Linked DNA regions of Oryzias latipes. The protein of the gene in region 1 interacts with the protein of each later gene in a biochemical or structural test. Links are inferred from orthologs where the notes say so. Each region holds a gene or a part of one and is shown in the gene's direction. Other genes may lie near its edges. The genes, in order: keap1, mcm3 and APC membrane recruitment protein 1.

What was found.
Region 2: the proteins of keap1 (region 1) and mcm3 form a complex in vitro, tested with the Homo sapiens proteins (2 studies listed by BioGRID, with this or other methods). The link is inferred for Oryzias latipes from reciprocal best matches to the Homo sapiens genes KEAP1 and MCM3.
Region 3: the proteins of keap1 (region 1) and APC membrane recruitment protein 1 form a complex in vitro, tested with the Homo sapiens proteins (2 studies listed by BioGRID). The link is inferred for Oryzias latipes from reciprocal best matches to the Homo sapiens genes KEAP1 and AMER1.

What each region holds. Positions count from the first base shown.
Region 1 is NC_019859.2:10,399,404-10,407,700, forward strand, and holds the start of keap1 (kelch-like ECH-associated protein 1), read left to right. Parts: upstream 1-2,768; 5' UTR 2,769-2,887; exon of another isoform or gene 2,888-2,891; intron 2,892-2,964; exon of another isoform or gene 2,965-2,982; intron 2,983-4,691; exon of another isoform or gene 4,692-4,750; intron 4,751-4,959; 5' UTR 4,960-5,803; coding exon 5,804-6,109; intron 6,110-6,387; coding exon 6,388-6,633; intron 6,634-7,382; coding exon 7,383-8,059; intron 8,060-8,297. Other genes in the region: sphingosine 1-phosphate receptor 1, read left to right, coding at 1-867. UniProt on the Homo sapiens protein: Substrate-specific adapter of a BCR (BTB-CUL3-RBX1) E3 ubiquitin ligase complex that regulates the response to oxidative stress by targeting NFE2L2/NRF2 for ubiquitination.
Region 2 is NC_019882.2:13,461,456-13,469,811, reverse strand, and holds mcm3 (DNA replication licensing factor MCM3), read left to right. Parts: upstream 1-2,904; 5' UTR 2,905-3,323; coding exon 3,324-3,398; intron 3,399-3,521; coding exon 3,522-3,634; intron 3,635-4,075; coding exon 4,076-4,284; intron 4,285-4,355; coding exon 4,356-4,486; intron 4,487-4,552; coding exon 4,553-4,791; intron 4,792-4,867; coding exon 4,868-4,976; intron 4,977-5,058; coding exon 5,059-5,212; intron 5,213-5,345; coding exon 5,346-5,477; intron 5,478-5,552; coding exon 5,553-5,761; intron 5,762-5,834; coding exon 5,835-6,009; intron 6,010-6,085; coding exon 6,086-6,212; intron 6,213-6,289; coding exon 6,290-6,440; intron 6,441-6,514; coding exon 6,515-6,655; intron 6,656-6,728; coding exon 6,729-6,838; intron 6,839-6,914; coding exon 6,915-6,988; intron 6,989-7,056; coding exon 7,057-7,162; intron 7,163-7,248; coding exon 7,249-7,447; 3' UTR 7,448-7,628; downstream 7,629-8,356. UniProt on the Homo sapiens protein: Acts as a component of the MCM2-7 complex (MCM complex) which is the replicative helicase essential for 'once per cell cycle' DNA replication initiation and elongation in eukaryotic cells.
Region 3 is NC_019872.2:16,854,492-16,862,321, reverse strand, and holds the end of APC membrane recruitment protein 1, read left to right. Parts: intron 1-616; 5' UTR 617-726; coding exon 727-3,660; 3' UTR 3,661-5,401; downstream 5,402-7,830. UniProt on the Homo sapiens protein: Regulator of the canonical Wnt signaling pathway.

The sequences.
Region 1 (8,297 bases):
TCTGGACCTCACACCTTAAAACTGACGCCTTTGCTCTGGTTCCTCAGGGAAGGGGGAGTCTTCATCACATTGGCCGCCTCTGTTATTTGTTTGCTGGCGATTGCAATCGAACGGCATTTCACTATGATGGCCATGCGTCCGTACCACGGGGCCAAGCGGGGACGGATGGTGGCACTTATCATAGCAAGTTGGGCCCTGGCAGGTTTTCTGGGGGTGCTTCCCATTTTGGGATGGAACTGCATTGGAAAGTTGGACCAATGTTCAACAGTGTTCCCACTTTATGACAAAAGCTACATCCTATTCTGCGTCTCCGTGTTCAGTGCAGTGCTTTTGGCCATTGTGGTTCTTTATGCCAGAGTTTTTCACATTGTGCGCACCAACACACAGCGCCAGAGGCAGGGCCTGACAGGACCCACGAGAAGAAGTTTATCAAGAAAGTCTAAGAAGTACATAGCCCTGCTAAAGACAGTGACTATTGTTCTGGGTGTCTTCATCGCTTGCTGGATGCCTCTGTTTGTCCTCTTCCTCTTAGACTTTTTTTGTTCCAGTGGCAAGTGCGAACTACTATACAAAGCCGACTACTTCCTCGGGCTAGCCATGATCAACTCACTCCTCAACCCCATCATCTACACTCTGACCAGTAGAGACATGAGAGTAGCCATTCTGAGGCTGCTGTGTCTGCCATGTCTGATTGCCACAGGCGGACAGATCAACAGGTTTGGGACGTTCCTGGAGTACAGTTTCAGCAGGAGTGAAGTGGGCTCTCAGAGGTTGGACGTGGGGCAGGAGTCGATCATTTCCACTGGAAACATAATCAACACTTCATCTCCAATTAAATCTATATATCCCAAGCTCTTCAAGTCATAGACTCTGGCAACAATGGTATTTTGGGGTATTTAGTAAAGCCAAAAAGTTAAGAAGTATGATAGAGGTGCAGCTGAATCATGCTTTGACAAATGCTTCACATTTTACAAATAAAAAATAAATGTGCGAACAGCAACAATACCATGAACTAGCTTTTTTAGGTAAGAAAAAAAGGGCCACAGTATTCTGGTCAAAATGTGAACTAAACATGACTTCTTGTCCTGATGGTGTGGAACAGGTAAGAAAATAGGTCAACCTGTATCATCCACATCTTCAAGTTGAATGGTCTGCTACTCCTGCTCTGATAAAATCCTCAGCACCATAACTGCTTTTGTTTGTGTACGTGGTGCAGTGGAGCTTTGCAGAGAAAGACTCTGAAAAGAGGGAGTTTTATTTTAAGAACACATGAAGATTGTTGTAGTTTTACTGTGGGAGGGATGAAAGTTTCTCTAATTCTCTTGATTTAGTTGAAAGTGAACCAACCAGACAAAGCAAAAGTCTTTCTATTTTCTGTTGGTCTGGCATTTTCTGTCCAGTTGCATTAAAATGTCAACACATCCGAGATGTGGCCAAAAAAAAAAGATTTTTGAATGTTATATGGTAATACTTAGACTGTGACTGAAACCACTCAGTTATGAAAACACAGTTCGGAATTTTTATCTTGTGAATAAAGTTTCATTTATTAGCTGCGGCGGGTGTTTAAAGGATAAGAATTTATCTGCACTTGTAACTTATTTTATGGGAATTCAAGAAAACTTCAGGGCTGTAACTACAATACTTCTTTCTGTCAATCATCACAAACGTTTCCATTTTTCTTGAGATATCTGCGGCTGAAATACAGTCGAAGTGGATGAATGTGACAGTTTTCTATTTTGTGCTGAACTTAATGTAGCGACAAATTTTTCATTACTGAAAAATATGTTTTTTTATAACACTTGTAATGTGAATTGTATTTTGTTACCTTCCTTTTCATTCAAATAATAAAATATTTTCTTAGGCGAACCATCACTCTTTTTGCATTTTGTTGTGTGTGATTTATGTGGTCTGAAAACACATCTGGAGGAGACATTGACTCACATGCATCCCGCTCTTATTGTCTCAGCAAAGCACAGTTTATCAGTGGGTTAACAAAAGACTTGGTTTCATTGCTCTGGTTTTGTTTGTCGTTTGATTCTTTAACAATATCGAAATTTTCCCAGATGCTGATTGCAGGTTTTTGCAATACTCCTGCAGACAGCAGTCAGGCTTTCTTTCCCACACTTGAACACGTGTGCAGAAATAATCTATAAGACGGTTGTTTTTATCTCTGCTGACAAATGAGCTTACTGACATGACTCAACAGAGGCTTGACCTTTGCAGCTGTAACTGTTGGCTTTTACTGCCACCTTGTGATTTCTTTTAAAAACAAGGCTGCTATGTAGGCTACTACCCTATTGACCCGGATTTCACAGTTTGCAGGAGTGAAAAAACTTGGTGTGTCAGCACAAGCCAAAATGTGTTTTGGTCCCATCTGAAGCAAGGCAGATTTTTTTTCTGATAAAAAATAATTGTTAGATAAGATGATTGCGAGAGAGCTGCATCATGTTTTCTTTTAATGTAGATTGGTTCAGAGATTTCTGAGTATGAGTGACATATGTATGTTCTTATTATAAGATTGAATTGTTCTTGTGTAGATGCAATGCTTATTTAAGAGGATAAACATATGAGTAAAGTATAACTGTAATGGTTGTAACAGTTTTGTTAAGCAATAAGTCACAATTTTAACTCAAAGTTAACCTTTTGGCCTGGTTTTCTTTTTTTGTTTTTTTTTAATTCTGAGACTCCTTTCCCAATAAAAGCCTACCACCCCCTGACGCAAACACGACTCATTGCTCGTCAATGGAGGCGGTCCCGACGTTCAGGAAGCATGCTTTTATTGTGAAGGCCAGTTGACTAGTACAATGCTTAGTCACGGTGAGTTACAGCCTCCCCTCCTCCTTCCTATGTGGCGCACAGCTCGGCAGAAAACGTTGGAAATAAGAGAGTACGTGAGTTGCCTTTACTTTACAGTTAAATTTTAAAATGTCCATCAGTACGGTTTTGTCAGTTCGGTTGAACGGAAAGTAGGTTTTTTGGGCGGTAAGACTGAGTACTTACTCTTTGTTAGCATGTTTGTAGCTATCAGTTCTCAGACGTTACTCCACTGTCTATTTTAGGGGCTTATTTTGCTGCTGCCGATAGCGTTACCTCCACCTCGGTGTTTTCTTCCAATCAATGAGACCGCGGAATTTTTTATCTTTTTAGACCTCAGTTTGGTCCACCTTCATCTGTGTTTTTGCTGTTGCATGCCAGCTCTGTGGCAGTTTCAGCCGAAAACAAGCTTGTAGTAAGTGTAGATGATGACCTTAGTCAGTGTGGAGTGAAAGCTAAACTTCGCGTTGTGTGAAAGTTCTTCTAGGAAAGGTGCACGGGATGGAAATCTAATTCCATCCCCGGGCTTACATAAGAACCAGCTCCACTTCTGGGTCGCGTTTTGGTACATTCAGTTCCACTCTTTCTGGCTTGGCGAATAGCTCGCAATGAGTCACCAACGAGGGAAGCTCTCCTCCTCCACCACGAATGCCAACAAAACACGTTGGACGCTCTTTGCTTGTCTTCGGCCTCGCCCCCTCCGCGTTGGCTGTTTCGCACAAAGTTTGGCGACGAATCTAGAAGTGAAAGTCTCTCCAAGTTGTTGTGGTCTCCACAGATTTTCTGCAGCTTTTTTTTAAAGTGACAGCTATTGATTGCAGGCCCGTTTTTTGGAGTTGCACCTTTTGTATGAAAGGTGCTTTATAAATAAAGTTGATTCAAATGGGGGTTCCCAAATTGAGGTGCAGGGGTTTATTGAACTTTTTTGTTACTAAAAATGACAATGCAACACAAACTCTCATTTTTTTGCAATATAAATATCTTGAGAAAAAAGTAAAATGACATAATAATGTTTATGTTATTGAAAATGTTACACTTTTTGAGCTCCTTGCTCATTTGGAAAAAGATTTGAACCAAAACAAAATGCTCTGAACACCAGCTAAATAAATAAGTTTACCCTCTCAGTTCAATACCAAAGAGATGAAATGCCACATTCACCAGACTGATACGCTAGCTGCTTGTTTGTGAGCGATAGCATGTTGAGCAATATGTTCTGGAATGTTCTGTTTTCCTTGTTAGTCACCAGGAGGAAGAAAAGTGCAGTTTCAAATCAGTGTCATAAAGTGTGTTTCGTGTTACTGTAAGTGTCACTGGCTGACTCCACAGCAGCCTTTAAACACATGACTTTTGATAACAAAATAGTCTTTTTCCTACTCTACGAACTGTAAAACACTTGTCTTTTTATCTCGTCCCTCAATACAACCTATGGTGTGTTGGTTATATAAGTAATCGTGTTAGGATTGTTGCTGACGGACTGACTCTTCCTATTCAGAGTTCACCAGTCAAATTGGCCACAGTCTGCTCTTTGTCTTTCATATCCCTGTTGCTTCATGTTCTGTAAAGGAGAAGTTGTGATGACAGTAAACTGGCCTGCATTCACTTTGTTGCACCCTCCACCCCTCTGTCATTTTAACATTATGCAATAGTCGAGTTGTTGTCCTCCCGTGGACCCGTGCCCATTCTGTCCTTGCTGACGTACTTTTGTCCAAACCAGCCTGGAGAGCAATCTCTGCCATGTTTCAGTCATGTTCTTGCCCCACCAAGCCTGAAAAATTCTCATGTTCATGTCTATCTTCATGACATGTAATAATTAAACAAAACAATGGGTTTGATTAACTGAAAATAATTAGTGTTTTCTATGTTCTTCTTACTATCAGCTGGATTGGTCACAGGATAAGAGTAAATACTTGTCAGCTGGATTTATGCCCAATTGAAGGTACTTTAGCAGTGTGTTTTTAAAGTCAAATATGTTGTTTTATTTTATATCTTTAATGTTAGTGTTTTTAGACTTTTGTTGTACACGTCTGTATAAAAAGTATATCTTTACAGTGGCATGTTAAAAGGTTCTTAACTGGGATCATGTGGTGACCACAGAATTTATCTGAGGCTTCCTAACACAAACCTTTTCTCTCCTTCTCCCCTCAGCTGTCGGCTAAATTCCCTGCCTGCTTGAAAGCAGCGGCACAACAAACGATATCCAGCTCTGGAAAATCTTAAGGAAGTTTTTTTTTTTCAAGTATAGACTTCAGTTCTTCCTTCTCCGTTTCAAAGAGCTCTCAGACCCACCAGTGACGCCTTTGGATCTCTTCTTGATTATCAAACAACAAGCAGTCAAACTGTTGGATTCCTACACATTTATCTCAACATTTGTTTTACTTTTAACGGTCATAGTTTAGCTTTGATCCATCTGATGAGTTGGTTCCTTTAGGGAATTTAACTGACCAACATAGATTTAATAAGAGACTTTCAGAGCATGATTTAATTGGCTACTGCCATATATTTCTTTTTATTCCTCCAACAAACAGGCATGTTTAACAGGCTTCTGTCAGTATCATGCAGGTGTGGAAAGACAGAGAGTTTTGTGACAAATGCAGTTGATCTAAAAGAAATCCCTTTGATTCCCGACTCTGTAGTTTAAACTTAATTACAGCAACATCAATCTTTAACTCCCATTCAGCATGCTGGAGGGCCAGTGTATAACGGCGTGCCCAGCTGGAACTGGCATCTCTCAAGCTATTTTCAATGTCATAACTCGCAGCATGACTCAGCTTGAGTGCTAAACAGAGCCAGGACATCTTCATGTGGTCATAAATAAGACTTTTGCAGAGACTAGGAAGGACAACAGAGACGCTGTGACAACTGGAAAGACTGGAGCTCTGCAAAACGATCACCTCGACTTCATTTCACATGTGGTGCCAGGATGCCCAATAACCGTGTCCACCGATCTTGAAGCAAAGACATTAAAGAGGAGAAAGACCCTTTCTAGGAAATGACAGAGTGCCTGACAGAATGCAAAGCGCTGGTGACGCCCTCCACGCGCAACGGTCACCGCGTCTTCAGCTACACGCTGGAGAGCCACACCTCGGCCGCCTTCGCCATCATGAACGAGCTGCGGTTGGAGCGGCAGCTATGCGACGTCACGCTGCGGGTGCGCTACAAAGACCTGGACGAAGTGGACTTTGTGGCGCACAAGGTGGTCCTGGCCTCCTCCTCGCCCGTTTTCCGAGCCATGTTCACCAACGGGCTGAAGGAGTGCGGGATTGAGCTGGTTCCCATCGAAGGGATTCACCCCAAGGTCAGTGGCATTTGCTTAGAATTCATCATTTTAAGGGGTTTATTTCCATGTCACGCCTTGGAATAACAGTTTACGTTTTGTGGTGCAGTGAAGTGGATGTAAACAGGATAGATGTCAAAGAGAAGATGCCCAACTGCTTTAATATGGAGGGACTGCTCTGTCTCCAGAGGATTTCAGTTTAACTCGTTTCCAATCTAAATGTTTAACTCCCTTTTGAAGATGTAACTGTTAGTTTCTATGTTAAGGAATGAAAAAGTTCTCAAACAACTCCTTCTCAGGTTATGGAGCGACTGATTGAGTTTGCCTACACTGCCAGCATCTCCGTGGGAGAGAAGTGCGTCATCCATGTGATGAACGGCGCCGTCATGTACCAGATAGACAGCGTGGTCAAGGCCTGCTGCGACTTCCTCGTCCAGCAGCTCGACCCCAGCAACGCCATCGGCATCGCCAACTTTGCCGAGCAGATCGGTTGCACAGAGCTCCACCAGAAAGCCAGGGAGTACATCTACATGAACTTCAGCCAAGTAAGGCAGTGTCACAGAGCAAAGATAACTTTTATGTAATCTTGCTTGTATTTTTCCACTGACTTGCCACCAATCAGAAAAAGTGGGGAATTTGAAGTGGTTTTGGAAGTGAAACCTGTTTCACATCTTCCATTGTGGTTCTTGGTGGGTGCTTTTCCCGCTGCAGTGGGCCATGACCCATGGCGAGCTTTATTTTGTCATGGTTGGAGCATACGTGGTGGCAAAATATGACTGTACGTCAGAGTTAATTGATCTTTGACAAGATGAGCAAGCAAATTCATGTCGAGTTGAAAGTCTTGTTGCACAAATATTTGTCATTGAGAGCTTTTATCATTTTGTTTTTGTTTTTTAATTAAAAAACGTGTTTGAAAGTGTAAAAGGTTCTTTTATTCTTTCTCAATGTCAGGAAATAGCTGTAAAAGTCTATGGTTACTTCTGTTCAGTCAGAGTATTGTTTTTGCAAAAGTTTTTAAAAGTGAAAATGGGTACATGATAGAACCTGCTGAGTCAGTTTGTTCAGGAAGTCAACTGTAATCTGTTTCCAGGTAAACACTGAAATATTTTTTCATGTAAATGCCTATTAAGATGAAAATAACTGTTTTTTTTTTTGTTTTGTTTTTTTAGTAGTTTTTACAGAATATGTTTTAAAACCGTTTTGCTCAGGTCATCTACTTGTTTAAAAAAACTTGTTTTTATGATTTTCATTTGTGGAAAGAAGGTAATTGAGCTGTATTTTTTTTTTCTTCCAGGTAGCGACCCAGGAGGAGTTTTTCAACTTGTCTCAGTGCCAGCTGGTCACCCTCATCAGCCGCGACGAGCTCAACGTGCGGTGCGAGTCTGAAGTCTTCCAGGCGTGCGTGGCCTGGGTGCGCTACGATCACGAAAACCGTAGACCCTACGTCCAAGCCTTACTCCAGGCTGTGCGCTGCCATTCCCTGACCCCCAACTTCCTGCAGACCCAGCTCCAGTCCTTAGACTGGGACCCACAATGCAAAGACTACTTGGCTCAGATTTTCCAGGAGCTCACCCTCCACAAACCCACCAAAGTAAACCCCTGCCGAACACCCAAGGTGCCTCAGCTCATCTACACGGCAGGGGGGTATTTCCGTCAGTCCCTCAGCTATCTGGAGGCGTACAACCCCTGTACAGGAGCATGGCTGAGGCTAAGTGACCTCCAGGTGCCCCGCAGTGGTTTGGCCGCATGTGTGATCAGCGGCCTTTTCTACGCCGTCGGCGGTAGAAACAACGCGCCCGACGGCAACATGGATTCCAACGCTTTGGACTGCTACAACCCCATGAACAATTGCTGGTGTCCGTGCGCGCCCATGAGCGTCCCCAGGAACCGGATCGGGGTGGGCGTCATCGACGGCATGATTTATGCGGTCGGCGGTTCCCACGGCTGCATTCATCACAACAGTGTGGAGCGGTAAGTCTAAGGAGACGGTTCATCAAACTCACTCGTGATCAGGACGTTCTGCTCCACAGCTTTTAAGCCTGTTGATGTGAGAGGATTTGAACCTCTGTATGTTGGTTGCTCTGCGGTCTGTTGACGTCCAGACAGCTGTGTTTGTACTACAGACATGTGGTTTATTTAGTTGACTGTATGAAGCTGGATTTGCCACAAACAAAGTGTCTGGTAACTTCTTAAAAATGTTGCATATTCT
Region 2 (8,356 bases), on another chromosome or scaffold:
CAATTTGTGTATGTTTAGTCTGTTTTAATTTCATAAAGTTCTTTTTACAATCTTTATGCTTTGTGGTTGTTTGTATTAAAAAACGTCCACACTTTAGATGGGGTGCTGCAAAACAATTAATAAACTATTAACAAAGTTAATTAATACATTTGTAAAGCTTATAAGCAGTTTAGTAATATGGATTTAGAAGAAAATGGTCTGACTTTAGATGTTAATAAATCTTATTAACACTTTCAGGTATTTGCAAGACATCTATAATGCTAATAAATATCTTACTAGCATCTGACACATTAATAAAGCCTATTAATTTGTTAAGTTAGTTAATAAAACTTATTAAGCTTATGAACACTTAGGCTTGTGTCAGGCATCTATAATGCTAATAAATATCTTACTAGAACCCTAAACAATAATAATACTTCTTAATTTGTTAACAAAGGTTGTTAATAAATCTTATTAAGCTTATTAACACTGACACATTTGTTAGGCACCTATAATATCAGTAAATGCATCACTAGCATTTTGAAAACATCCTAATAATAATGCTTGTAAATGTGTTAACTAAGTAATTTAATAAACCTTATTAGACTTATTGTACTAATAAATGTCTTACTAACACCCTATAAATTAATTTATAATGCTTGTTAATGTGTTAACAAAGCTTGTTAAGGAATCTTAATATAAAGTGTTATCGATAGCTTTTGACCCAAGTTAGCGCTAGTCCTCTTATCTCATGCACTTTCAGTTCGTCAAGTAGGATGACATGATTGAGAGTGTCAAATGCTTTTCAAAGTCAATAATCATAAAAGACCACTAGGAATGCTTTGCAACTAGATCAAAAGATGATCAGAGTGGGACTTTGAAAAATCTGACATCAGAGACATGCAGCAGAAATACATGCACAGATAAAAGGATTGTTTAAAAATCCTAAACGTTTTTTGTGGCTTTTCATTAATTTGTTCAACAGGGTCCATAGTACAACTCTGAACTATTAAGCCTTAACTATAAGCACAATGCATTTAAAGACTGAAAAAGAGCAAAATGCCAGTGCAAGGGGAGACAATGTGTTCTAATTGAAGTCAGCAATGAAGCAAACGACCAAACCTGTAAACAGGCCCTCTATGACACTTACACAGAGGAATGTCAGCTATAGTTGTCACAAAGTAGCTGTGATGCAATCTTCCCAAAAGGTATCTGCATCTACTCAAAGGGTGCAGCCTGACCTCACCCATCAGAGGTTTTTATGAGAAAAGCACCATTCATATCCCTTCTTCTACCACCACCAACTGCTCAAACCTGGGACTTGGTGAGAAAAATGCCGTTCAACAGGTATACAAATTTGCATTCAGTCTGTTGGATTATCATGATTCAATTTTGTACGTCACTAAACTCATACTTAAAAAAAATCTTTATACTACAAAGACTATTTCAGAGAGATAAAGCATGGCAATGTTATTTAAAAGGGAGAAATATTCATCTCACCTGCGCAGGTAGACCAGACAACAGCTTTAACTCCACCCGCTTGGTTTTAACCTCAGACCGACTCTCTTCCAACAAAAGGCGAGCAGACGGGAGTATTCAAACACTAACAAGACATGATCCAGGCTCTGAACCGGCAAAAGCAAAACAAACTGGAGAACTGGGGAAGGCGGAGTCAAACTCACATGACACGCCCACCAGATGTAAAAAGTCACATTTTTATGAATCAACACGTCTACATTCACATTTTCAGGGCAGCAGAATTCTCTCATAAATATACCACATGTACGTTTTTTAATTAGACGTTGTTTCAATAACTGTATATTACAGTTTTTCTCAGTCGCTTCAGTACAATTCTCAGATCAGAATGAAATTCCCAAAACTATTTGTTCAATATTCACATCATGATGTCACTTATGCACATCATATAAGCAGTTTCTCACTTCTTTGAACAAGTTGCAGTTGCTTTGGTACATCCATGCAAATGATTATGTACAATTCTCTGCTCTTTGCTACATTATCAGTTGTTTATGTCATGTTGATCAAAAATGTATTATATAGTTCACCTTGCAACAGTCTTACTCCTCAAAACACCTAGTCATTAGTTCATCGTAAGTCGTCAACTGCAAAATGGTTGACCAAGTTGTCATAATGTGACAAACATATTTCACTGCATTGCAAGAGAGGCTATTCGCTGTGATGTGGATGAGAATTCGTGGCCTAAAATACAGGAACGACAAGAGGTGTAGGAAGACCACACCAATTCCTACTGCACTGCCTGTACTGTTGTACAGAATATTGTCCTTTCTTTTATTTTCCGTTTGTGTTACTGTTTGCGGTGTTTTTTTTTTTATGTTGGTATGACATGGTCTGTCAACAAATTACAATATGAACAATAAAAGTGTAAATGTGAATCTTGTCCAGTCTCTTGCAATCAAACAGAAAAGGTGTAACTTACATTTTACAATAATTGTCATCCAAACTTTAGCCATAGTTTACATCAGAACCTCCCTCTAAAGTACACAGTTATATTGACAACATGACTAAGTAATTTGACTGTCTTGTTCGTAGACAATGACACAAGGACTTGACATTCTGATGGCACTGACATGTTCAATGACATAAAGACTTAGTTTTGAGAGATGAACCAAAGATCTATGCTGCTGTTTGTACAAATTGTTTTGAGAAATGCACACACGTATTTGCAAACTTCAATTCTGATCTGAGAATTGTACTAGAGCAACTGAGAAAAACTGTACCTGGTTGCATGTTTAGATAAATCCGAATATAAATAGTAATTAGGGAAAAAATAATTCATATTTATTTCCTCTTTAAAAACTTTTACTTGTTAGTTTTTTCTATTTTTTTTTACCGCTGTTGACTGCGGCTACCCAATATAAACAAACAAACAAAAAAGTCAAATTAACTTTAAAAGTCCAAAGGAAATGTGTTCTTAAGTTCTCCAGGATTTACATAATTAAAAAAATTCTGTAGTTTTGTTGAATTTCCGGTTGGTGTTTGTCGCCCTCTACTGGCAGAAATCTATAACTGCAAATTGTCTGGAAATGGACGCCCACCTCCAGACTCCTTCCTTCCGCTGCATTTTCGCGGGAGTCCTCTGGGAAGGCGGGGCCACAGAGGGAAGCAAACACTTTATTGGATAGCTGAACTGGGAGCCGAGGAGGTGGCTTGCAAGCTGGCCAATAGTGGTGCACGCTTTGGTGGCACGTGATATGTAGTGGCGCGAAACTCTTTCACTTGTGTGGTTTGCCTGCAGAGGAGCACACTGCGGCGGTTAAAGAGTTTTTATTAGTTTAAAGACTTAAAAACTTAACTTTACAACAAAGATGTCGACCGACGTCGTAGATGACCAGGAAATGAGGGAGGCACAGAGGGACTATCTGGACTTCCTGGACGACGATGTGAGTCTGCGGCAAAAAACTGTTCTGTTCTGTTTCTTTGGTCTCACGTGAAGTGATTCGGTTTTGGCGAAACTAATTATTTTTTCTGTTTTAATGTTTTTCATCACGACTTTTCATTTTTAGCAAGACCAGGGCATTTACCAAAGCAAAGTCCGGGACATGATCAACGAGAACAAAGCACGACTCATCGTCAACATCAACGACCTGAGGAGACGCAACGAAGCCCGAGCTGCAAAGTCAGAAACAACACAATGCAAACACAACACACACACTTTTCTGTAAACGTAACACGTGCACACAAAACAGCGAAAATCATAGGGCGATTTCGTGATCAAAAGGAGAAATGTAACGTTTTACTCTAGTTTATCAAAACGGTGATTTGGAGTCAATTGCGGCCCTTTTGTCTCTATTGAGGCTCATTGACTTTGAAAAAAGGTTAATAATTTACATAAACATTGGGTATGTTTTTTTTAACTAATTGTCTTTATTTTAAGTCAAGTAAATCTGCTGCAGCAGGAAATATAGGTTATATTTTATTTTGGGATATATTTAGGATATATTTTATTTTGAAAGGAATTTGTTACTAGTAGAAATTAATTACATTTTAATCATGAGTGAAGATCACCTCAGGAAATTCCGTATTTCTTTAATGAATTTGAACAATTTTCCTCTAACAGACTGATGACCAACGCATTCGAGGAGCTGGTGGCGTTCCAGCGGGCTCTGAAGGATCTGGTCGCCTCTGTGGACGCCACCTACGCCAAGCAGCACGAGGAGTTCTTCGTGGGTCTGGAGGGGAGCTTCGGCGCCAAGCACGTCTCGCCGCGGACGCTGACGTCCCGCCTGCTGGGCAGCATGGTTTGTGTGGAGGGCATCATCACCAAATGTGAGCACATTTCTGTTTGTGGGATTGGCAGAAGGACGGCAGAAGCCCTGATGTGACTTTGTGGTCTGTAGGTTCTCTGGTGCGTCCCAAGGTGGTGCGCAGCGTCCACTACTGCCCGGCCACGAAGAAGACCATGGAGAGGAAGTACACTGACCTGACCTCGCTGGACGCCTTTCCCTCCAGCGCTAGTTACCCCACCAAGGTACAGGTGAAGCTGCCATCTTAGCCTCCTCAGACGCGAGCTTTGGACTGAACGTGATGCTTTCAGGACGAGGAGAACAACCCGCTGGAGACGGAGTTCGGTCTGTCCATCTACAAAGACCACCAGACCATCACAGTGCAGGAAATGCCCGAGAAGGCCCCCGCGGGCCAGCTGCCCCGCTCCGTGGACATCATCCTAGACAACGACCTGGTGGATATGGTGAAACCCGGAGACAGGGTGCAGGTGATCGGAACGTACCGCTGCCTTCCTGGAAAGAAGGGGGGATTCACCTCCGGCACCTTCAGGTGAGACACGTTTCTCTGCCGCTTTCCGGGTTTACTGAGAAACTTTGACCATTAACTCAATTCTTTTGGGTTGTAGGACGATCATGATAGCATGCAACGTGAAACAAATGAGCAAGGAGGTGTCTCCGTGCTTCTCTGCCGACGACGCTGCCAAGATCAGGAATTTCAGTCAGACTCGCTCCATTGTGCGTCATTTTCCTCCCTTTAGAACTTCCTGTTTCAGCAGACAGAGACGTTGAAACATTTGGGTTTTTCTCCCCCCTGTAGAACGTATTTGACCAGCTGGCGCGCTCTCTGGCTCCCAGCATCCACGGCCACGAGTATATCAAGAAGGCCATCCTGTGCATGCTGCTGGGAGGCGTGGAGAAGGTTCTGGAGAACGGCTCCCGCATCCGAGGGGACATCAACATCCTGCTCATCGGTAAGACCACCGCAGGAATCCAGGAGCTTCTGGGTGGACCCACTTCCATTATCTTGTGATCTATTGTAAAAAGCGCAACCCCAACCCCCCTTCACCTCCCCGTTGGTGATCGTGGGTCTTTAACCTCTGACAGGTGACCCGTCGGTGGCGAAGTCCCAGCTGCTGCGATATGTCCTCCACACGGCGCCCAGAGCCATCCCCACTACCGGGCGGGGGTCGTCTGGCGTGGGTCTCACGGCTGCCGTCACCACCGACCAGGAGACAGGTAACCCCGCCTTTTCTCTTGACTAACTCGATCGTTCTCCTTTGCTCCACCGCTCAATGGGTTTTCTCCCCCAAGGCGAGCGGCGCCTGGAGGCGGGCGCCATGGTGCTGGCCGACCGCGGCGTGGTGTGCATTGATGAATTCGACAAGATGTCCGACATGGACCGCACGGCCATCCACGAGGTGATGGAGCAGGGCCGCGTCACCATCGCGAAGGCCGGTATCCACGCACGGCTCAACGCCCGTTGCTCCGTGCTGGCCGCTGCCAATCCGGTCTACGGAAGGGTAAGCCCCTCCCCTGCAAAATCTCGCCACACTGACTCCTACTTCCTTTCATCTACTTTTATTTTTGCCGCAGTATGACCAGTACAAGACCCCCATGGAGAACATCGGCCTGCAGGACTCTCTCCTGTCTCGCTTCGACCTTTTGTTTATCGTTCTGGACCAGATGGACCCGGAGCAGGACCGCGAGGTCTCTGACCACGTGCTGAGGATGCACCGCTACCGCGACCCGCGCGAGCAGGAGGGGACAGGTACTAAAGAGCCGCAGTGGTGTCGTCTGCGCCCGCTTTACGCCTCGCTTCCTAACAATGTCGCCTCCTTCTCTAGCTATGGCTCTGGGCGGGACGGTGGACGTGCTGACCACCGAGGATCCGGACGCGGCGGCGGACGAGCGCGAGGAGCTGCAGATCTATGAGAAACACAACGTCCTGCTGCACGGAAGCAGGAGGAAGAAGTAGGAGGCGCAGATTCTCTACGCCACAGGATTTTCCGAGGAATCACCTGAATTTAAACATGGACGTTCGCTTGCAGGGATAAGATTCTGAGTAAGGAGTTCATGAGGAAGTACATCCACATCGCCAAGGCGGTGACTCCCGTGCTGACGGAAGAGGCGGCCAATCACATCGCAGAGGAGTATTCCAGACTGAGGGGCCAGGAGCAGCTGGGATCGGACATGGCGAGGGTGAGCAGGAGCTCTTCTTCCTTTTTCCTTTTTGGGCATACAGTTCCGGCTCTGACCTCATCTCCTCCCCGCAGACCTCCCCAGTAACGGCTCGTACTCTAGAGACGCTGATCCGCCTCTCCACGGCGCACGCCAAATCCCGCATCAGCAAAGTGGTGGAGCGCGTGGACTCGGAGGTCGCCGTGGAGCTCGTCCAGTTTGCTTACTTCAAAAAGGTTGGTCCCACTCTGTCACGCCTGCGAGGGGATTTTGGCTTTTGCGATGACGCCCCCACCGTGTGACCCGCAGGTCCTGGAAAAAGAGAAGAAGCGCTCAAGACAGGAGCGCGACTCCGGTTCAGAGGATGAAGAGGAGGAAGAGGCGGTCTCACAGCGATCACAGAGCAGCCAGAGGAAGAGGTCAGGAGGACTATTGGTAAAAAAAAAAAAGATCTGCCCTGAAGTCAGCACTAACACTTCCTCTTATCTCCTGCAGGGGGCGACGTGGATCTCAAAGCTGCGAGCCTCGCAGCCCCTACGACTTCACCGAAGAGCAGGAAGTTCCTGAGAGTAAGTAGTGATGTTTCAGGCACCTTTTGAACCCAGAAGAACTTCCTGCTTTGAATTCTTCTCTGTAGTTCAGACTGGAATCTCCAAGGTAACCAAACCCCAGCGGCGGCAGGAGGAGGAGGAGGCCATGGACGCCACGCCGCAGGCTGAAGATGTAGAGCTGTCTGCTGAGAGGTACATGGCCCCGGCCTCATGTAGGTCCAACATTAATAACTCCTCAACTTAGATCCTAAAAACCCTCTCCTCTTCCTCTCCCTCAGGCTGAAGGAGTTCAAGTCCTCGCTTTTCGCAGTCTTCCAGTCCGCACACGCTCAGTCGGTCAAGATGGCAGCGCTGATGGACGGCATCAACAAGGAGGGCGCGGCAGTCTTCACGGACGCAGATGTCCGCACAGCTTTGGCGCGCATGCAGGACGATAACCAGGTCATGGTGGCGGATGACATCATCTTCCTCATCTGAGCGAGGATGATGAGGGACTGTTTGTGTGTGTTTGGTGGAACAAGGTGGATTTTTCTCAGCTCTGCTTTTGTAAATAGTAGAAAGGATCTGATATTGTTAATCTGTCAAAGTGAAAAACGAATAAAATGATGCACAAGTCTGATTTTTGACTGAATACTTTCAATAAACTGGTTTTATGGGGATCAAATCTGCAGATGTCGACACCTTAATGAAATTTGTTGTTTTTCTTTCTAATTTCCTCCATTTTTTTGTTGATAAAGGTGCTATTCAAACAGAAAGCAGTGACTTCATCAGACGCTTAACCGCAGCTTGGCCCAGATGTAGGCCTTTGCTGCTCAGATGCCGTGCAGAATAAAGTTCATTCAGGAGGCGGTGCTGCTCTGGATCCGCTCCGCCGTGACTCACCGACGTCTCACCTTGTTTTCCTGTCAGCAAAAAATGCCTGTCAGGGTTTTTTAAAAAAAAAAAAAAGCCTGTCAGGGTTCATTCAGTCTGAAACCAAATGAAACCTATTCTTCTGTAATTATAAAACTATTTATTTTAACAAGTTGAAGTATGATCCAAAGTTTGGTAATCATATCAAAAATGATGTTTTTGTTAATAGCATTAGAAAGGCTTTGAGTTAAATCACAAAATTATTTTGGTCATTTAAACGCCTTTAGCAGAAAAAGAAATCTGTTTTCTTAATATTTGAAACAAAAAATACATAAATGGATATTCACAATAGTATATTAATGTAAAAAAAGAAAATTGTACAGATATATACCATAACACACAAAATGTAATAATACATAGATAAATATAAAAAATAAATGGAAAAAAGATGTGTACTGTATCTAATCCGATCCATTTTCAGAACCCACCTTTTCCAACTTCCAACCCATAACTTCACTGCCTCTGCCTATTTTT
Region 3 (7,830 bases), on another chromosome or scaffold:
CATCAGTGCTTTCTTTCTTTCTCAGGATGTACCACACTGTTGATTTATATACCGGTACTCCTAATACTGTAGCAATTTCTGGGTTTTTTTCTTTCTGTTTTCTCAACTTAATGATGGCTCCTTTCACCTGCATGGAGAGCTCCTTTGATCGCATGTTGTCTGTTCACAGCAAAATCTTCAAAATACAAGCACGAGTCCTCTGATCAACTCCAGGCCTTTTATCTGCTTCACTCATAATGACATAACAAGGGAATTGCCCACACCTGCCCATGCAATAGCATGGAAGTCCATTTAAAATTCACTGTGGTAATGTACAGAAACTAAATTAGAACGGATGTGTCTCTGTCCAAATATTTATGGTCCTGTATATAGTTCGTAGAGCATGGTGCTCAGTGTAGTCGTAGACACGTGTGCACTGAAGTGTGTATCAGAGAATGTTTGATTGGCTGTACTTCATGTCAATCAAGTGATGTTATTCACGCAAGTGACGAATTGGGCACCCCTACTCTAGAGTATCTATTAGCTGCCTTTTCCTTTTTTTTTCCCTCAATGTTCTGTCTCCTAATGGCAATTATTTTGAAACTTCTCACTGACTGGCTTTTTTATTTTTGTGCAGGATCCTTACCTGATGGGTGATGAGTTTGGTGTGGTTCCGCCTTCAGCTGACTTTTAAACCCGGTCTGTGATGCCTTCTGTCCGGCATTTGTCTTTGTAAAAGTGATAGTCATGGCTCACTGCAAGGTAGAGGAGCAACAATGTGACGCCCAAGATAGTCCTCCGGTCGCTGATGTGCATTCCCGCTGTCTCATCACAGAAGACGTTCAGTCTGATCCGATAAATACAACAGTCAAATCTCAGAAAACTGGGAGATTCAGGAGGACCGCTTTGACGTTTTTTGGAGTTCGCAAAGGTATCTGTATTTTACCGAGCTTTTTTGGTGGGCGAAGTAAAAATCAAAACAAATGGCACTCAAAGAAAGGAATTAGCAAAAGCAAAACCCATGATGGGTTGAGTAACATCAGCCACACAGACCATCTGGGAAGTGTGTGCGCCTTGACTGAGGCTTCAGAGTATCACAGTCAAAGGGAAACTGCTGCAGAGCTCCAAAGCAGCTGTCACAACGAATGTAGTCACTCTGCTGATCAGCAGAAATCACTGACACTCGGTCGACACAAAAGGGGTTTGAGAACTCTCTTTCAGAGTTTTAAGCAAAGCAGAGGTCAGAGAAATGCCGGCTTGGATACAACAGAGATGATTGCAATATCCTTTCCTCAGTCTGGGAGGGAGGGGCCTGCTGTCCAAGTCAGCCGGCCTGTCACTGAGTGCCTGGGATCTGAACCTGATGTGCCTGATTTCACAGATGTCATGAAATGTGACATTTCCATTGGTCCTGAATGTAGCAGTGCTGATGTGATGCGATTGGAGAACAGCGCAGAGAAAGAAAGACCAAAGTCTGAGCACGGCGGTCAGGAGCAGCATGATCTGCTTGAGGAAGCTGCTGCGGTGGCTGGAGCTTCCACTACTCACCAAGAGACCCTGATAGATTCTAGTGCACCATGTGTGGAGCCTCAGATGGGGTCTCCGTCTGCATTGAAGTCGGAAATTCCTCACGGCTCCTCAGATGGGCTTAACCTGTTCGAAGATGTTTCATCGTTGAAGAGCTTTGATTCGCTGACTGGCTGTGGGGATATCACTGCAGATCAAGAGGACGACAGCATCACAGACAGCACGGTGTCTGGAGAACGGAGCAGGAACGGAGGGAAGAGGGCTTCCTGTTACCTTACTTACCAAGGTGGTGGAGAAGAAATGGCCTCACCTGAGGATTTTGATGAAACGTGCCTTCAGGAGTTTTGGGGAAACAATGACGCAATCTGCTGCACTTGTAATCCAGACCAGACGGACACAAATGAGTTGACAAGTTCTCACAATTTGGACTCATTGAACAGTAGCAGTGCTCAGCAGGCTGTTGGTATAGTTGTTTCCTCAACTGCAGATGCTCTAACTCCCCAAAGTGAACATCAGGAGTCATTTCCAAATAGCGATGAGGGTTACTATGACTCAACGACCCCTGGACCACAGGAAGGACAGGAAGAAGGTGACGGGTTAAGAGCTGGCAGATTACCCAGGGACAGTTACAGCGGAGATGCACTCTATGAACTTTTTGCGCCTGATGAGAGTCTGATCAGTCCTCATTATGAGAACAAATCACCTCATCCCAATTCCAAATCAAGCACCTTTTTGTCTGAGCCAGAGGATGAGATGGATGCTGCTTTTGTTCCAGAAATGAATCGCTTGCTAATAGGTGCCGAACTATACGCAGAGAGTTTTCTAGAGAGGCCGGGCACGTGCAGTAAGTCCTTGGAGTTGACACAGAAAGTGGAAAGTCGACAGGAAATCAGAGGGAATCAAAACACTAATGCACATTCAAAACAAGTATCGATAAACATGAAAGATGCTGCAGTAGGCATTTTTGGTGACACTGGAAAAGTGCTCACTCCAACCGAAAAGAGAACAATATCCACAAATGCTGACTGCAGCGTAGCATTTGGAAGCTCATCTCATCCAGATTATGAAACCTTTTGCAGACCTAAAGAGGAACATCTTGAAGAAAACAAGCCTGTGGCTTTACCATACAAAAACAAAAGTTCCTCTGCTGAAGAGAGCACCACCTTCCTGGATGATGGGCAGACAGTGTGTTTCTCACAAGCACTTGAAGATTACACCAAACACACTCAAATCCTCGGCAACAATGCGGATGATCTGGACAGGAATTCTGCTTTCACTCCAAACATGGAGGCCTTACCCACCATAGTGACGTTTGACGTGGTTGATATGCACAACGAGGGTGAATATGATGAGCAGATGCGCATGGACTTAGAAGAGGACATCTCCTCACCCTATCAGGAGTTTGAGGAAAGCTACCTTCAGAAAGATGGGTTTGCTGAATGTGATTATCAGATGTTTGATTTGTATGAACACAACCTGATCAGTAACGCGTGGGCTGTTGCCAGTCTCCCCCGGCAACATGGCGTTATAGGAGTCAGCCAGTCCGTGCCTCACACATTAACCCATGATAAGAGGAGCAGGTCTCTGGATACCGAAGGTCCTAATGTATGCACAGACACCAGGGCGGCTGTTGCTTATTCCTCTCAACTGGAAGAGGACTCAAGCTCTTTACCATACAGCAAAAAGAACATAGTTATGTCGTCCTCAGAAGCTGGAAACGGTAAAGGAATAATGTCTTCGTCGTGGCATCCCAGGACAGATGAAGACGTCACTGTAAAAGTCCAAAGTCTAAGTTCTCATCACTCCTCCAGCGGGGACTTCTTTGACCTTAAACCGCATCATCTTTGCACTACTGTGTCAGACGACACTAGCTGTGATTTCATGTCCCACAATCCAGATTCAAGCGGCAGACAGCGTCACTTCCCTGTGCTGTCAGACTCCTGTGGACCTCAGGGCACCCTGGTTTATGCTGGAATGACAGAGCAGGAGCTTGCCGATCTTGGTGATCGTGTTTTCTGTAACACTGCTCATATGAAATCCTTTACCCAGAGCAGTAAAGGCCGAGCAGAAGGTGCGAGCCTTCCTCAGAGTCCTCTGAAGGGAGCTTTGTGTAAAGATAAAACATCCGTCCTCTGTGAAAGTCAAGCGATGTAGTGTTGTTCTCTGTGGCTTGCAGCAAGCTACCTGAGGTATCTCTAAACTGAAAGGATTTGCCACAGTTTGGATGACAAATGCCAGCAATCACTTTTTATATTAGTCCAAAGGAACAAAAATTGCTGATTTTAGTTTGCACAGACGCGTGTTTGGAGGAGCTGTCTACTCCGACGGGAAGTGGAGTTGAACCGCTTGAATAAACTGACAAATGATGTCCAGAACGTCTGACTTTCTGCATTTGTGCTGTACCAGTCTATGTGCACGGAGGGCTACTAGATGTAGATGGAAAGAATTTAAAGGAGCAGCTGTTTCATTTTCCATTAAAGTTCTCATCTCATTAAGCTACTGAATTTGACAAGAATGTTTTACCCACTTGTAGCCTTGATATTGAGGCCTCTTCACTGATGCCACACTTGTTTGCGAGGGTCATCATCAGCCCGGCTTCAGCTGTACAACCGTGCTACGCCTGTTGCCTTTTGAACATATGAATGCTTTTGCTTTGCCTTAAATGTCAACTTGGGTTTGTTTTTACTGCATTTCAAAATTATGAGTCCACAGCAGCGTTACATCTAAATCCAGGTGTTTGAATTTTCTTCACCTCATTGAAAAGACTTCTGAAATAAAAGATGCCCTGACTGGAACCGGTATGACACTCTATTAAGAAGTAACTGCATTTTCAATGTCAAACACGTCAGGCCTGAAATGGTGAATGAAGTTTGTAAATCTGCAGTAAACTGCAGTAATTCCTTCCTGCCTGTAATTTCCAGCACATCTTCACTTGAGTTTTTGTCTGTGACACATTCTCTCCGTCAGCAAATCCCGACACACCACAGGTGTTTTGTCCTCTTTCACTCATCCACACAGACAATAAAGCGAGTGGACCTTTTTATTTCAGTCTTTTTTTAGCTGTCATAAAAAATAAAAATTCATCTATAGGAAGATGCCATTTAACAGACCAGAGATTCTTTTTTGGTTGTTTTGTTTTATAACAGTTATAACAGTCCTCTGTGGGTTCAGGTTTGAGATGCACTAAAACAGTTTTAGCTCTTTTTAGTTCTACTTTTCCACCATGTTCATGGTAAACAACTAAAAACACATGTAAAGGAGTTGTTTATTGTTCCCACATTTTATCTCAACTGCAACTTTAAGTTTACATTTTGAAGGTTTTTAGGGGAACTCAGAATCATTTGCAAATCTTCTAAAACTCCCCTGTATGGAAAATATCCGTTTTCATAAGCAGTGAAACAATACATGAATGAGAGAGAGCATGTGATTATAGACTGGGATTCCTTTTTTTTAATTTTTTTTTTTGAGCTAAGAAAAACCATGCTTTTATTTTTGTTGCATTTGTTTCTTTGTTCTGTTCTGTTTTCAATTTGAAATAGCTCCACCAACTAGGAAGTAAAAAGTTCAGATGAAAATTGTGCTCTTCAAAACTGCGTTTCCGTTATTGTGAGGGATGAACAAGTGGTTGGATTTTAAATTTAAGATAAGCTATTTTTTTTCTTTAAAAATGGAGTGTTGTTATTTTTCTGTCTGTAATATTAGGAAAATGTCTACAATTGTCTTTATAGCCCTAGGTTCTGATTTCTTGTATCATGTACAGTTTGGCTGTTACAAATGGCAAATTGGGTCTAAGTTTTCTTATGAGTTATTGTTTACTTTCACCTTAAACATTTTCAAAGCTTTTGTCTGAATACAACACTGCCTTACAAGAAAATAAACGTGATATCAAGTATAATCAGGCTTGGATTCTTTCACTGAAAGTGAGCTTTGCACTGTTCTGAAGTTTGGTTTTGCTTTAGTCCAGTTCTTAAGTAGAAATCTTGTCTTTAAATTATCCTATTTTTTTATTAAACTTTTAAATACCTGCATTTTTTTCTACACATAAGTGGCATGACCCAAACGCTGTAGGTGTTTCTGTTAGGAGCAAAGTTTTAGATAAATGTTAAATGTCACAGGCTGATTAATAGTTATATGATATGAAGAAACTGAAAGCTTAATGCCATATTTTCTTTAAAATTGGGCTTTGTTGAACTACATCATTTAAAAACTGTCTGCAAAATAAGTTTTAACCCTGATACTGCCAAAGATAAAACCAAATACATTTTTATTTTGTGCATATAGAATAAAAAATTAAGTTTGATTACAGGGATTATAGTTATCTGATATTATGGATAAAATGTGATATGCTTTTTCAATACAAGTCTAAAATAGGTAATCATCTGCAAAGCCGATTAGAAATGTGCAATGTTGTTCTTTTAGAACCATTATTTCATCAAACAATAAGTAATCAGCGTTCTTTACCAAGAAATTCAGAATTTTAGGTTGGATCTAAAATAATTAGAAGCCTTTCAAACTTCCGTGACTCATTTATCTGGCTCCCGAATTTTTCATTGTGATTTACTTGTTTCCCTCGCGTTATCTGGCAACCCTGCCTAAAATGCGACAGCGCCAATGGCAGCAAAAGACAACTAGAAGAGGCGAGGAGGATGACAGCAACAAGGTGAGAGGAGCACCGTTTGAAGTCAACATTGGCACTGATGTACGGCCAGAGAATGCAGAGAACCGTCACGTCTCCCTGCGGATTCAGCATCGTATGAGTTATCAAATTACTGGCAACTTTATCCCAAGTTGTTAAGGTATTTCTGTTGACAAATTGTTAGCATATTCTCTAAACTGAAGCTAACTACAGTTAGCATTCCAAGCGTTGAAGTAAGCGATGTTAGCTTGATAGCAGTATAGCTAAACTAAGTACCAAGCTTAATGTCGTCTGACAGTGTCACTTATTAATAGTTACTTAAACTAACTTCTAGATGGTGGTAAACACGTAAAGCTAAATCAGCTCTGAGTGTTGACTTGAGTTGTGTAAATAATGTTGGGGTATCGTTTTAGCATATGCTAACTGCAGCTCGAGGCCTAAAGATGTCAAAGCAGTTATTTGACAGAATGCCGAAGGTCACGTTTTATATAATGCTTGTTGCATTTGTAGACAAAAAATGTTGCTAATGTGCATTTTCTAGTGCTGTCAACTAGTTCTTAAGCATTTGTTCCTTTTTACGTGTCTCAACTAATGATGCTGCAGAGATAAACACTTTTGTTTTTTTTCACTGACGTGTCAACTTGTTTGATTTATCATTACGATTTTACAGACCAACAAAGTTAACACGAACAATGGACAATGAAAACGAACATATGTGTAGTGTTGATTTCCCCCAAAAAATTAACCACACAAATTTGCAATAATATATATTTTGCACCGCTAACGTTTAGCTTGTTCCTGCTTAGTATACTGTCATCGAGTTTTATTTTGAAATCTAGAATCTTTAAGTCACGTCTTTCATTAATGTCATTGTCAACATGGTGGTGACAACTCAGATTTTTTTAGACGGTGCACTACAGGAAGTTTGAGGAAAGTTAATCATATTTATTTGATGAATACCTATAAACTAATGATTGAATAAAATCTGTTTGATAAAGGAAGCTGTTCTCTTTACTCTTATCAGAATTTACAGAATAATAAAAACATTAAAAATGGTTAACTTTGCAGTGATTTTTTTTTTTGCTGTTTGGAAATGTTTAAGAAAAATTTAATATGAAAAAGGAGAAAGGAGCTGAATTTCTTTTTAGTAATAAATGTATTTTACCTGTAAAATGTGACAACATAAGTGAGTTAAAACAATATTTGTAAAACTAATTTCAAGCATTACATTTACATAGATTGGTTATGCTTTGTCTTTTATTTTTCTTTACTAAAATATCCACTTTCAGTCTTCGTTTCCAAATAGAAAGAAATATTTAATCTTATATTTAAACTGAAGGCAGCTTACTGCTGAATCCCGTTTAAAGGCAAAAAGCTATTGACGTCCTAATATTTATACTTTAAATTTTACCCATGATATCACTTCTTTATCAGGGTTTTTTCTACATGCACCAGTGGGTAAAAATTATCTAATGAATTATCTCTTGGAGTACTATCGGCACTTCTGTCACAGGAGTTTACATTTTTATACGAATGGATGGTTCTTGTTGCATTTTTATAAATATTATATTGGAGGGATCTCCGGGATCTCCGGCTTCCTCCCACTGTCCAAAAACATGCTTCATAGGTTGATTGGCAACTCTAAATTGACCATAGGTGTGAGTGTGAGAGTGAATGGACGTGTGATT